Linked DNA regions of Xenopus tropicalis. The protein of the gene in region 1 purifies or fractionates together with the protein of each later gene. This does not show direct contact. Links are inferred from orthologs where the notes say so. Each region holds a gene or a part of one and is shown on either strand. Other genes may lie near its edges.

The links.
Region 2: the proteins of cdk14 (region 1) and ccny purify together in Homo sapiens (affinity purification with western blotting; 3 studies listed by BioGRID and IntAct, with this or other methods). This does not show direct contact. The link is inferred for Xenopus tropicalis from reciprocal best matches to the Homo sapiens genes CDK14 and CCNY.

What each region holds. Positions count from the first base shown.
Region 1 is NC_030682.2:30,950,616-30,956,646, reverse strand, and holds the start of cdk14 (cyclin-dependent kinase 14), read right to left. Parts: upstream 3,429-6,031; 5' UTR 3,057-3,428; intron 1-3,056. UniProt on the Homo sapiens protein: Serine/threonine-protein kinase involved in the control of the eukaryotic cell cycle, whose activity is controlled by an associated cyclin.
Region 2 is NC_030682.2:21,607,752-21,613,941, forward strand, and holds the start of ccny (cyclin-Y), read right to left. Parts: upstream 4,154-6,190; 5' UTR 3,753-4,153; coding exon 3,599-3,752; intron 1-3,598. UniProt on the Homo sapiens protein: Positive regulatory subunit of the cyclin-dependent kinases CDK14/PFTK1 and CDK16.

The DNA.
Region 1 (6,031 bases):
CAGAATAGAATGAAATTTGTATATGTCTCTTATTCAAACTACTTCCTGGTTGCTAAAGTAATTTGAACCCTAGCAACCAAATAGTCTACCATAATGACTGGACACAGAGCCACTGCAATGGCCTGGGTGCTGGCACAAGGAGCAGATTTTAGTGCTAAACAACAAATTCTTGCACATTTTAAGGTTTAGTTCTCTATAAGAAAGCTGCAGAAATTAAATTTTTATTAGCCTCTTTACCCTACCTGACCTTGTTATATTTTGGGGAGAAATGATACTGAGCTTCCAGATTTTATTAGATTATCAGTATTAAAAGCTCATGTAACTGTTGATCCTTATACAAATAAATACTATTAGAATTTATTGAACACTAGACATAGTTGGATTAGATATTTTTATCAGCAAATGGGTAAGACTCTTTACCTTTGCATAATTACGTTTCTTTGACTTGAGACATATTGATTTCATGCCTCCAATTAATCCAGATAGCAAACTAGCACAAAAGGAAAAAAAAAATCTTTGAGCACATTTTTCAATAAAGCTGGCCATTGACATGCCAATGTTAAAATATGAAACAATGTTTAGTGCCTTTATCGGTGCATTTATTATCCGGAATGCACAGAACCTGGGGTTTTCCCGATAAAGGATCTTTCCGTAATTTGGATCACCCTACCTTAAGTCTTCTAAAAATCGTTTAAACACGAAACAACCCCAATAGGATTGTTTTGCCACCAATATGGATTCATTCAGCTTAGTTAGGTATTATTATTATGAAGAAAAAGTCAATCATTTTCAAAAATTAGAATAACTTGCTTACATGAAAATTCAACCCTTCCCCCAAACCCCAGGTTCCCTTCATCCGCTGCCAGTAGCCACCCTTCCCGAAAAGTGCAGAGTCGCACAGTGTGGTTGACAGGCGCCATCTTCATTTCAGATCATCTTCTGTCAGTTCGCCAACATGGAGCCTTCAGGAGCATGTACATTTGAAACTAGGTCAGGAATCAGCCTCAACTGTACATGCTCCTGTAGGCTCCACGTCAGTGGATTGAAAGAAATGCATCCAAAGCAGTGCAAGATGGCGCCTATCAACCACGCTGTGCAACTCTGCGTTTTTCTAGCAGGTACACACATAGGGACATTTTCTTAATGTAATAGATAGTGCAGAGAGTTAGCAGGGAGGGGGGACTGGGGTTTGGGGGGCGGTTTAATTCTCATTTCAAATGGATCCTATTGTAGACAGCCTTAATGCAATTCTGAGTTTTCAGGGCTTTTGAATAATTGGTGCCCCAATTAGTAAATGCCCCCACATGTAATGTCATCTGTACCGTGTTAGCCAGTCCATGGCGTATCTGCAGTTAAAAAGTGAAGAACCGCAGCTCTTCTTTACTTTCTGTGATCATTTGTGCCCTCTGAACTAACGATTGGAACAATTGCAAGGTAGTTGTACCATGTGTATCCCCTTGTACTCTCTCCGTCCATCTGGCACATGGGCCCAATGTGTGGTACTATGGTACCCCGAATTGTGTATGTATGTATATTTTAAAGTGGATAGTGCTACTTGGGTATGCAGTTTGGTACATTGTCCAAATATGAACCTTTATATTCCTGTGGCTGAAACCTATCGGTAAGTGGAACAGAAATTGTTCTGTATTTTCCTGCTTATCTAATGTAAGAAATTCATACAAAATATGACTTCAATTGTAGTATTATTTTCATATCCCACACTTCTGTATAATAAAATTAAGGCACAACAAGAACTACCAAAATCTACATCACAGTATTTCTATGTTCAAGGCCCACTTAAAGGCTGGCACATAGCTGATAGCATGATTCCGCCCGACAGCTCAGTAGGCTGCACATCACAGTCAAGCTGAAACAGTTAATGTTCCCATAACATGAAAATCTGTTCTCCTACAGACAAAATGATTTCACTGGGAATATGCACATCTGATAAAAGCAGTATTGTTTTTTTTTTTTGCACTCTGGGAATGAATCCTAACATGTAAACAAGGGAATTTTTAGAAATAAAAGCAAACATTCCTGGTTGCTTCCTTTAATAGAAAGCACGGAGAGGCGAGTGGTTCCATGCCTGCAGGAGGGAAGGGCCTGCACATTACAGAGCATGGGGAGATGATGTAAATTCTCTGGCAGTAAGAATGTATGCTCGACCCTGGGTGGGTTAAAGTGAAACTCTCCCATCACATTGTTGCATGGTCCATTAAACCACTCAAAGCAGAACCTATTATTAGAACAATCATTCCAATAATCAATTTTTTATGCTTCTCTTTATACTTTGCCAAATCTATTGCATCTTGTATCCTTATATTCCATATTTGTTTTTTTTACTGTGTGCCACATTATATGGCGCTAAGCAACATCATCCTGTCATTCGCAATCATCTGTTCGGGTGAAGTTATCCACGCATCCCCCTGAATAACATTTATTTCCATGACTCTTGTACTTACTATAATGAAAGGCAAGATGCAGCTGCCATGAATCAGGAAGAAGCACACAGCACGGAATATATCATTCCTGCATCAGTTTTCATACTGCCAGATGAATAATGCTGCAAAATTATAGGAAATCATTAAAGTCCCTAGTCCTAAGAGCCACTGTGGGTGCAGAAACCTGGGCCACTTCTATTATGAGAAAGGAAAGAGTGGTCACATCCATCCCACACTTAGTTCTCCCAAAGGGCAAGAAAGCTGAGCACCAGAACCGGTGAAACATTAGCCTCCTTGCTCAACAATAAGAAAAAAAAACACTTTCTAAGCTTAATGCTCCTCATTTGTTTGCTTTTTCCATAATAATATATAATACTTGTATGCAGGCAGGGATGACCAAGAGGGTTTTTTGCATGTGTATTCCTCCGGGATTGTATTTAAATCAACATATTTTGCAGAATCCCTACTACTCTTTTAAATAATTGAGAATAAGACAAGCACAGAAGCAGCTGTGTGATCCGAATCATTAAAAGCCCGTGATGTTTCTATTCCCGATACAGCCCAAGGCTACCGACAACGAAAAGGCAGGCATATTTTTAATAAACACAGACTTACCGTTGTGCAGTTGTCATCACAGAGTGTTTCATTTACAACTCTTCAGCATGTCTCTAGCGGGGCTAGTGGTCGCAGCCAAGGCCAGCCTCATTCAGCAAAATGAATTCACAACATGTTTCTGCTGTACCAAGCCGGACTGGGAAGGATGCACTACAGAAAGGGGGAATCACTGGATGGAAAGAGAAAAATCTCTGCAGACAGGATATTCTCTAAGGGTAGTCATGAGGAAGGCACAGATGCGCACACAGAAAGCAATATGGGTTTGCCTGAGACTCATCAGCTTGTTGAAAAGACCAGCCTTAAAGCATTTGTATTTAAAAGCCAAATGATGGACGTGCCTGGGTAGTGTGCTTCCCGGGAAGGCTGTGTGTGTTCTGCAGCAGCATTGCAGCCACTGGGAGTATACACAGGCTGACAATTATACAATATACAAGCTTTTTAAACTCACTTGATTTACACAAGTGCCTGATTTCATAAGGCCAGGGCTAGAAAGAAAATGACATTAAATGAAATGGATGGTACTTATCGAGGTCAATAGAGTTTCTTTTGCAAGAGCAGTGGGAAACCAATTAGTGTCTCTGAAAACAAATGAAGTTATTTGACAATCAGGAGGTTTTTATACATTGCAAACTGGTCACATGATATTCATATAATAATATAGAACTGCATTCTGTTGCTGCAGAATTATGGCCATTACTTTAAGGCGCAGCTGCCAGCCAAGACCAGGTAACGATAGCAAAAATAAACTGGGCCAAAATGTATTCTTCTCTTCATATATCTGCACTGCTAAATACTTCATACATAGTATTGCCCCTCGTGTAAATACCACAGTTACAATGACTGGATAGTTCACTTATTTGAAGAGGAGTCTTACTGCAATGTCCAACAAAGAATCCCACTTGCATAAAAGCCCTATTTTGGAAGATCCATACTGAGTACTCCCAGTAATGATCAACAAAATACAGAAGCCTACAAGCACTTCTACAAAGGAAAAAAGACCCCCCCCCCATCGTCTGTGCATATATGTAATACATAAAACAGATTCATCATAGTGTTTATTATAGAAGATAATGCACTACATGTTTTAGATGTGAAATGTACCTGGGGCTATTCCAACCCAATACATATAGTGCAGCATGTTCTATAATAAACACTATGGGAATATATAAACACCTGTTATTCTCTCTGGGCAAAACTCTATTTTGTACTGCCCCCACTGTGCTTTACTATTTACACACGCACACACACACACATATATATATATATATTTACAAACACACATATTTGCCGACTAATGAATCTAGAGCCATATATGAAAGCCTCATGATGCATGACTAATAAGCTGCCCTAGTTTCTTTGCAGCATGTGGATTTTATTACATGTTGTAAAATGGTGGGCAGAAAATTATCAAAAAATATAGGTTTGCAATGATCTGTGCCAATCAATTTAACCTTATTAGTGGTGGCAGTTACCTCTTTGATCTATACAGGTTGCTGGCACATTAACATCAGCGCAGTACAGATTAAAGAGCTGACCAGGGACAACATTAAAGCATTAAAAGGGTTAATACCAGACATATTAAATGCAACATGCCAGATTTGCCCACCTAAATGCTGTAAATTGGAGAGATCCTGTCACTGGTCTGGGAGCCAATGATAACATCATACTGCAGGATTGTGGGGGGGGGGGTTCATCAGGCAAGGACAACATCAACACCCAAATCTGATCCTCACCCATAAGACTTTTCAAACCTGTCCTATAAGGTGGCCATACATGTTCATATTTTAGTCTTCTTCTTTTAGTCTTCAAACATTCAAATTGAAATTGTAGGATAACAAGTAACAAATTGGTGGATGTTCTGAACATAAAATAACTAACAGACATCAATCGTACGAAAGTGACGTTCCGGAAATGCATTGTAGGTCACCCAATACATACATAGATTTTATCACTATCCGACCAAAATGACCGATCACCATGGTACAAAAATTATCTGGACATAATCTGGAGCCCACACACAGTCCTCCTCTCCCTTGTATCGTGCCACTTACTGCCCATGTAAGTTTCACTGATAAACACCAGTTAATATGAATGGGAAGTTTAGACTTATTATCTTGCTACACAGCATCTATGGTGCTTGGTTACACCCTTGAATTGGGGAAAACTGGCAAATTCTCCTTAATACCTTTGTAGGGGGGGCCTAAATAGCAGAAGCAATGTAGGCTAATCCCTTTCACACCTAATCTATTAAATAGTGGGAATTTAAACACCCACCAGATAAAAATGAACTGGGTCTTCCTTACATTTGTAGGGTTCACAGATTGACAAGGGCCCTGAATGCTTTTCTCCTCTCATAATTACTCAAACGGACGTGTTGCCTATAAAGGGGTACTATATAAAACCGAAGCTGATCATATTTACCCATCCTCCCTTCTGTTATTGTGAAGTATGCCAGGCTTGTGAAGTGTTACTGCAGCAGCATTTATTCACATACTGTATATCAAGTCATTATTATAAAATCTAAATGAAAATCTACTGAAAAGGAAAGGGAGAGGTGCAAGGAAATACCTACCTATTTGGTACTCCAGACTGACCTGATATCTGTATACAAATCAAATAAAGTATGGGGATATACACACCCACTATAATAAGAATGTGATAAAAGTGGTAAAGTCCAAATAGAACACTAAAAGATAATCAGGAGTGTGTCCGTGTTTAATTATATAAAGAATCCGGATAATGACCTGTAGGTGGACATAGAGTACTGTCCCTATTTTTGCTGACGACTAAATTGTGCAAATCTATAAGTTCCATGCAGGATGCTGCCGCTTTGCAGAGTGATTTGACAAAATTTGGAAAACTGGGCAGCAAACTGGAAAATTAGGTTCAATGTTGATAAGTGCAAAGTTATGCACTTTGGTAGGAATAATATAAACGCAACTATCTACTAATTCCTGGCAGTGTCATTCAGTGGC
Region 2 (6,190 bases), about 9.3 Mb from region 1:
AGCAAGGGACTTGAAAAAAAAATAATCCGATCGTTTGGCCCTGGGGCCAAACGATCGAATTACATTTGAGCTTATGGGGCAGTCGGTTCGTTGATGCGGTCCCCGATCCGACCGGATTTTCTAACCTGGCCAATCGAGATCTGGCCAATTTCAGGCCAGATATCGGTCGGCCAGGCAGCTCTGTTCTGCCCATACACAGGCCGATTAGCTGCCGAATCGGTCCAAGGGACCGATATCGGCAGCTATAGTCGGCCCGTGTATGGGCACCTTTAGGGTGAAGACACACAGAGCTACTAGTAGCAGCTACTTGTCTTGGCTGCAAAAAAGACAATGCTGATTCTACTGATAATTGTCGCTATGTGTGTTTTAGCAGAGGCAATTCTCAGTATTGTCTATGGCAGGGTATTTTCTGGAGTTTAGTAGCCTTGAAAAATTAGCTGCTACTAGTAGCTCTGTGTGTCTTCACCCTTATAGCTTGATTTTCTGGAAGTGTCCCTGAATGTTCAAGTGATATTGTAATCCTACCAGCAAGTTCTATGAATGATGCTGCTGTGTTTTTATAATCTCACAGAATTTGTTGGTAACTTTATATTTTTTCCAGCGGTTACTTTATCCCTTCACAGACACAGTGTATTACTTGATCTTTAAGGTTAATTCCTTCATGTTATTTTATTTAATTTACTGAAGTGTACTGTTATTTAATTTACTGAAGAGACAGGCTGGTTTTCTAGCGCTTTTTTACAATAAACCCAAACGTGCAGAAACTGCTACATTTTACTTGTAAACACAGCAAGTAAGGGGTTTGCAGTTTGCTAAAAGGGGTGATCTGGTCAGCCTATTATAATGCAATAAAACAGATTATGCAATAAATACACAAACACAAACCACTTTTTTCCTCTTAATGATATTATAATGCCTAGAGGTCAAATTTATTTTTAATTTATTAGCAGTTAGACAGTAAAGTATAAGGGCCTGGCTACCGCATACAAAGATTATTTGTATAAATGCATTTTACGCAAGGGAGGGAGCGGCCAGCTAAAATATGCTCACTAGCAGTACCATTTAAAAGGAAAACAAGTTTTATGCCAGGAACATCTCTTAAGAATTTATCAGTAAATGATGCAAGCTGGAAGTGGAACACTTGCTAACTACTGTACATCGCTAGGCCACACAAGTAGTGAAGTCTTTGGATATGTTATTCCAGGAATTTGCCGAAGTGTAGTAACATATAGCAACCAATTAGAGATGTGCTTTTATAATTTACCCTGTAGTAGGCTGATGAAAGTTTATTGCTGATTGGTTGCTAATGGTTACAGCCCTGGAATAAAACTGCCCTCTGTTCAACCGGACCAAAGTGGAAGCTGCTAATACATTGCACAGGGCCCAGTAAACACTAGACCCAGAAATGTGTAATTGCAAGAGCAACTGATTTAATGGATCCCTTTATTACAACTACTCTGCACATTTCAACTGAACAAGCCTCGGTGTCATACAGTATTTATAATGCATTCATTTTTCTATTTAAGGGCCACTATAATCTCTAATAATTAATATAGGGGAATATTTATACTGCCATAGATATATGTTCTCTTTCTATATAGGAAAACACATGGAGCCCTTGCCGTAGAGTCTGCAGTATATGACTAAGTTTATTTAGCCCTCTACTGAATAATACTGGTTTCCCACCTAGCTTCTTGCAATAGTAATTGAACACTATCTGGTAGGTACATGACTTGTGTCAGTAGAAAGCATGCTCTAGCCGTTAGTCAGTTCAGCTCTTTATATTTGTATCAAACAGATTCACATGGAAAAATTAAAAGCTGAAGCATAGTGGCACTTACATAGTGGCACATACACTAATAGGCCTACTGTAAAGGTCATTACCAAAGCAGGGTCCCAAGACCTGAGGGGTACCCATGGTTAGACCTGGGGTTCTAGGTTCAATTCCAGTCAGGGCACTCTCTGAAGCATGTCTGTATGTTCTCTCCGCAGCTGCATGATTTTCCTCATTGTATTCTGGTTTCCTTTCAAAAGAGGCAAGGTACCTGGCTCCTATTATGAACTGACCATAGCAAATAAGATAGGGACCTTAGTTTACATAACCAGGGAATGATGTCTAATATAATCTCTGTAAAGAGTTACAGAATATGTTGCATACAGTTCAGTACAAAACCCCATCATTTATCATTGCTAAGCAGAATGGCAGTAATGCATGAGCACTGAATATGAACACAAGGTAATAAATCCACTAAACCCTAGCAAAAGATTGGTCAGAACCAACAGAGTACAGGTAAGCGACACATAAAGATTAAAGGAGACATATTGGATAAATGATGGCAATTATGAATAATATATGGTGCTGGTTTCACTTTGGGCTAAAAATTAATCCTATAAGTAAAAATGGCCCCTTTATTGGAGCTCCCTATAGATCCTATCAGGTCTCTGTCCCTGTTTCAAATGAAGGGTGGGTGTGTCCTAACAGTTCCTGCCAGAAGCACAGTAGGAGGGGGACAACCAATCACAGTCTTGCACTAACACAACTAAAGACAGGCTTCAGTTCCCTATCAGGTCAGCCTAGTTGCTAATTGGTTCCTATCCTACAGTGTCTTGTACTGAGAGCCTCCAGCCCCCCCTGCACATCCAGAGAAGTCAGCCAGCAGGAAGTGGAACAGAAGGGGTGGGACTAGTGGGCTTTTGGTGGAATTTCTTAATAAATAAGTCCAAAACACAACTTTTTTAAGCACAATCCTTCTATATTTAGAGGAGTGTAATTCACTGGTACATTCTTAATTTGTATATGATATGTCTCCTTTAAGAGCATCCTCATGTGGGCACAGTTCCTCCTTCTGCCACTGACACAGCTGGGACACAAAGGCTGCAAAACCCAGTGCTGCTCTGCCTAAGTGTCAGCCTACGGCACTATGGTACCTATTTATTGTTACTTTCTGACAGATCACATGGTGCCAGGCCTCATTAACAAGGCAGATCATTAACAAGGCAGACAATGAAACAAGCCAGTCACAACGGATCCCAGCAGTACCCATGCAATTCCAATATAGAGGCCTGGGTCTAATGACACTAGGAAATCACAGAGCACACCCCCATTCATCTCCACTGAACTGCACTGATATCCCAGGGAACTCCATGTACAATGGGCTGCCAGGGGTTTGTAGAGCGAGTTCAACAATAGCTGCAGAGTTGATATATATATATATATATATATATATATTCCGGAAATATATTTCTATATATTCAGTGGGACTTGCACAGGCACACTATATAGTAAAACAATACATAAATAGAAGAGATGGGGAACAATACAACAATAGAATATAAATACAGTAATAGCAAAATACAGTAAGTGCTAAGTGTAAGAAGCATAAGGCAGTGCCTGTGCCCCAGAGCTTACAATCTGAGTGATTACACTATATAACATGCTGTACATATGTTCCCCCTGTGAGTGTGGGAGCCCAGGGTGAATGCCCTCTGTGCCATGCCTGATGTACCCACACTGACATGGCAGTGCCAACCCCACCCCCAATGCAATTATAAGAATAGCACATGTGTGCCAGCCTGTGCCCCCCAGGTTCCCCCTTACCATCTACATTCTCCCGGTCACTGATGTGCTGCAGGTTGCATCCAGTGTCCTCTCTGCTTATGTCCTGCTCGGGCCGGTACGACTCCAGCCTGGAGTGGGCATTTCTGCGCAGCTTGGGGCTGGAGGAGACACAGCAGGATGTGGTGTTCCCCATGGTGGGGCTTCAGCAGCGCAGCCCCTCTCAGATCTCAGCCTTCTGTAGCACCCCCAGCCTCTCCTCTCTCCGTTAATGAGGAATGGTAGCACAGACTGCAAGTCCCCCGGGTGGGGAGCAGCCCAAAGCAGCTAATAACAGCCCCTCTCCATAAGGGAAGGGAAGAGCGTGTAGGGGGCTCAGCAGGCAGCGCCCCTTCTATTCCATAGTGCCCAGTGTTGGAGGCAGGAACCAGGCATCTCCCCTGCCCGCTGCCTCCTCATCAGTCTCCCTGCATAGCCCTCACACAGCAGCACAAGCAGCAGCCCCTCCCTCGAATCAAGCTCCGCCCTAGCACTGGCAGCTAGCGCCGACGCACAGCTCTCCCTGCCCAGAGCGGCGCACTGCTAAATTGTTCCGCTGACACAGGAGAAAAGGTTCCGTTTACACAGGAAAAGGAAAGTTCCGGTTTATAAGTCTAATAGCGGGAAGGGAGCAGATTGTGTGGGAGTGAACTATCACTTTACTGACTTTGCTTTCAGATTTTGATGATAGCACAATTTCACCACGCCGCAATTGACTTTACTTTTCTCTTTTGTGTGAATACCACAATTCAACACAGGTGGCTAAACTCAACCAGCATGGCCCTAGTGGCTGCAGGGAGTTACAAATAAAAACAAAAGGGGGGCTTTTTAGTCTGTAACCCTTTGGCACAGAGAAAGCACCCGCCCATTTAGATTGTAAGCTCTATTGGGGCAGGGGCTTATTTCCTTTTGCTTCTCTGGCTGTGTAGTAATTCCATACATATATCTCTTTTCAGTTTTACTGCCCTCTATGTATTATGATTGGCAGCTGGTACACATGAATACATGAAACCCAATTTTTTTTTAATTAAATCATCCATACCTGTTATAAATGTATTTAAAAATCTGAGCTGTCAATCATATATTGCCTGCCCCGCCTCTATGCCGCAGGGATAGAGGCGGGGCAGGCAATATATGATTGACAGCTTAGATTTTTAATAACAATTACTTTAACTTTCCATTCAGCACTTACTATACATCATGAGCCTATGATTAAGTACCCTGGTAGGTACGAAACGCGTAAGGCTGTTGCAGTTGTTATTATTTTTATGGAATAAATACATTTTTGATACTTTTATTAACATACAAGCTGCTTTTTTGAACAAATTGACTGACGCAAAAGGGATCCCAGATGTGCCTGCCTGTTTCTTCTAGTATGATTCTTACTATACATCACCCAGATGGCAAATGCATATGATTTTGGGGTGATACATAGCTTGCCTTAATAACAGTGCACACAAAATGGCGCCGGCCTGCTGGCTATGACTACTAATTTCAAGACTGGAGGGAAAAATAAATTCAATAATTGAAATAGTGTAAGTAAAGTTTATTTTGCTCTACTAACCTGATTCAAAAGGATTTGGAATTATTTCTTAGGGTGACAGGTCCCCTTTAATGTTAAAATTATTTTTTAGTAGATTTAAGAAATGGAGCTCTAAATTACAGAAATAACCCAGGTCCCATACCCATACATGTCTCGGCTCTGATGATCCTGCTTATCTGTCATTAATCAGAAGGAAAGACTTTTGGCTGGATGCGGGTTGGGAAGCAGTGGGTAAGGGTTAGGTCACAGGCTGAAAAATGTTGGACCTTCTCATCACTACTCTTTACCTCTGCCGCCCTGTGCACCCGTCTTACAAAAATACATGCAGGTGCAAGAACAAGCAATAGTGGGACACGAGGGAGGTTTAACAGGTTCTGAACGGCCCCCCTTCTCTGCACCTTGTATATTACACCACTGCTCAAATCGGGGGGGGGGGGGGGGGGGAGAGGGGTATACAGCAGCGGTCAAAACACCCCTCTCTTCATGTCACTGCTTCCCATACTAATCTCAGGGAAATGCTGTGCCTTAAGCACACATAGCGGTGACAGATGGACCTCCACTTAGAATAACTCAAGTGAGTGTGTCTTTGTGCAGAGGGCCACCTGTCACCACTATGAGTGCTCAATGCACAACAATGATCCCTACAGATTAGTAGGAGAAGTAAATTGGAGCATTTTGACCAACACTCTTTTCCACCTGCTGAGAATGGAGTTCAATATATCCAGTTTAAGTCACAGTTTTTAATAAATATATATGGTGTGTATTTCTATTTCTATTTTACAATTAGACCCAATGCTGCCGTCCTTTGGTAATTAAATGCATTCATATTGCTAAAAAGCTGTTTTTTTTCCATAGACCAGAATGGTAATTGCTTTGACCAAACAGAACCAATTAAAAGCCCAGTGCCTGGTCATTGGTTTTATTTTTTGTATCTTTCAGTAAATACTGGGAGGCGATTCTGAGAAAACTGTCTCAGCATTTTATAAAAATGCAAAGGAAGCAGTGAGCAGCTCAAAGTCGCATTGCTAACGGACTCATGCGCTGAGCAACAG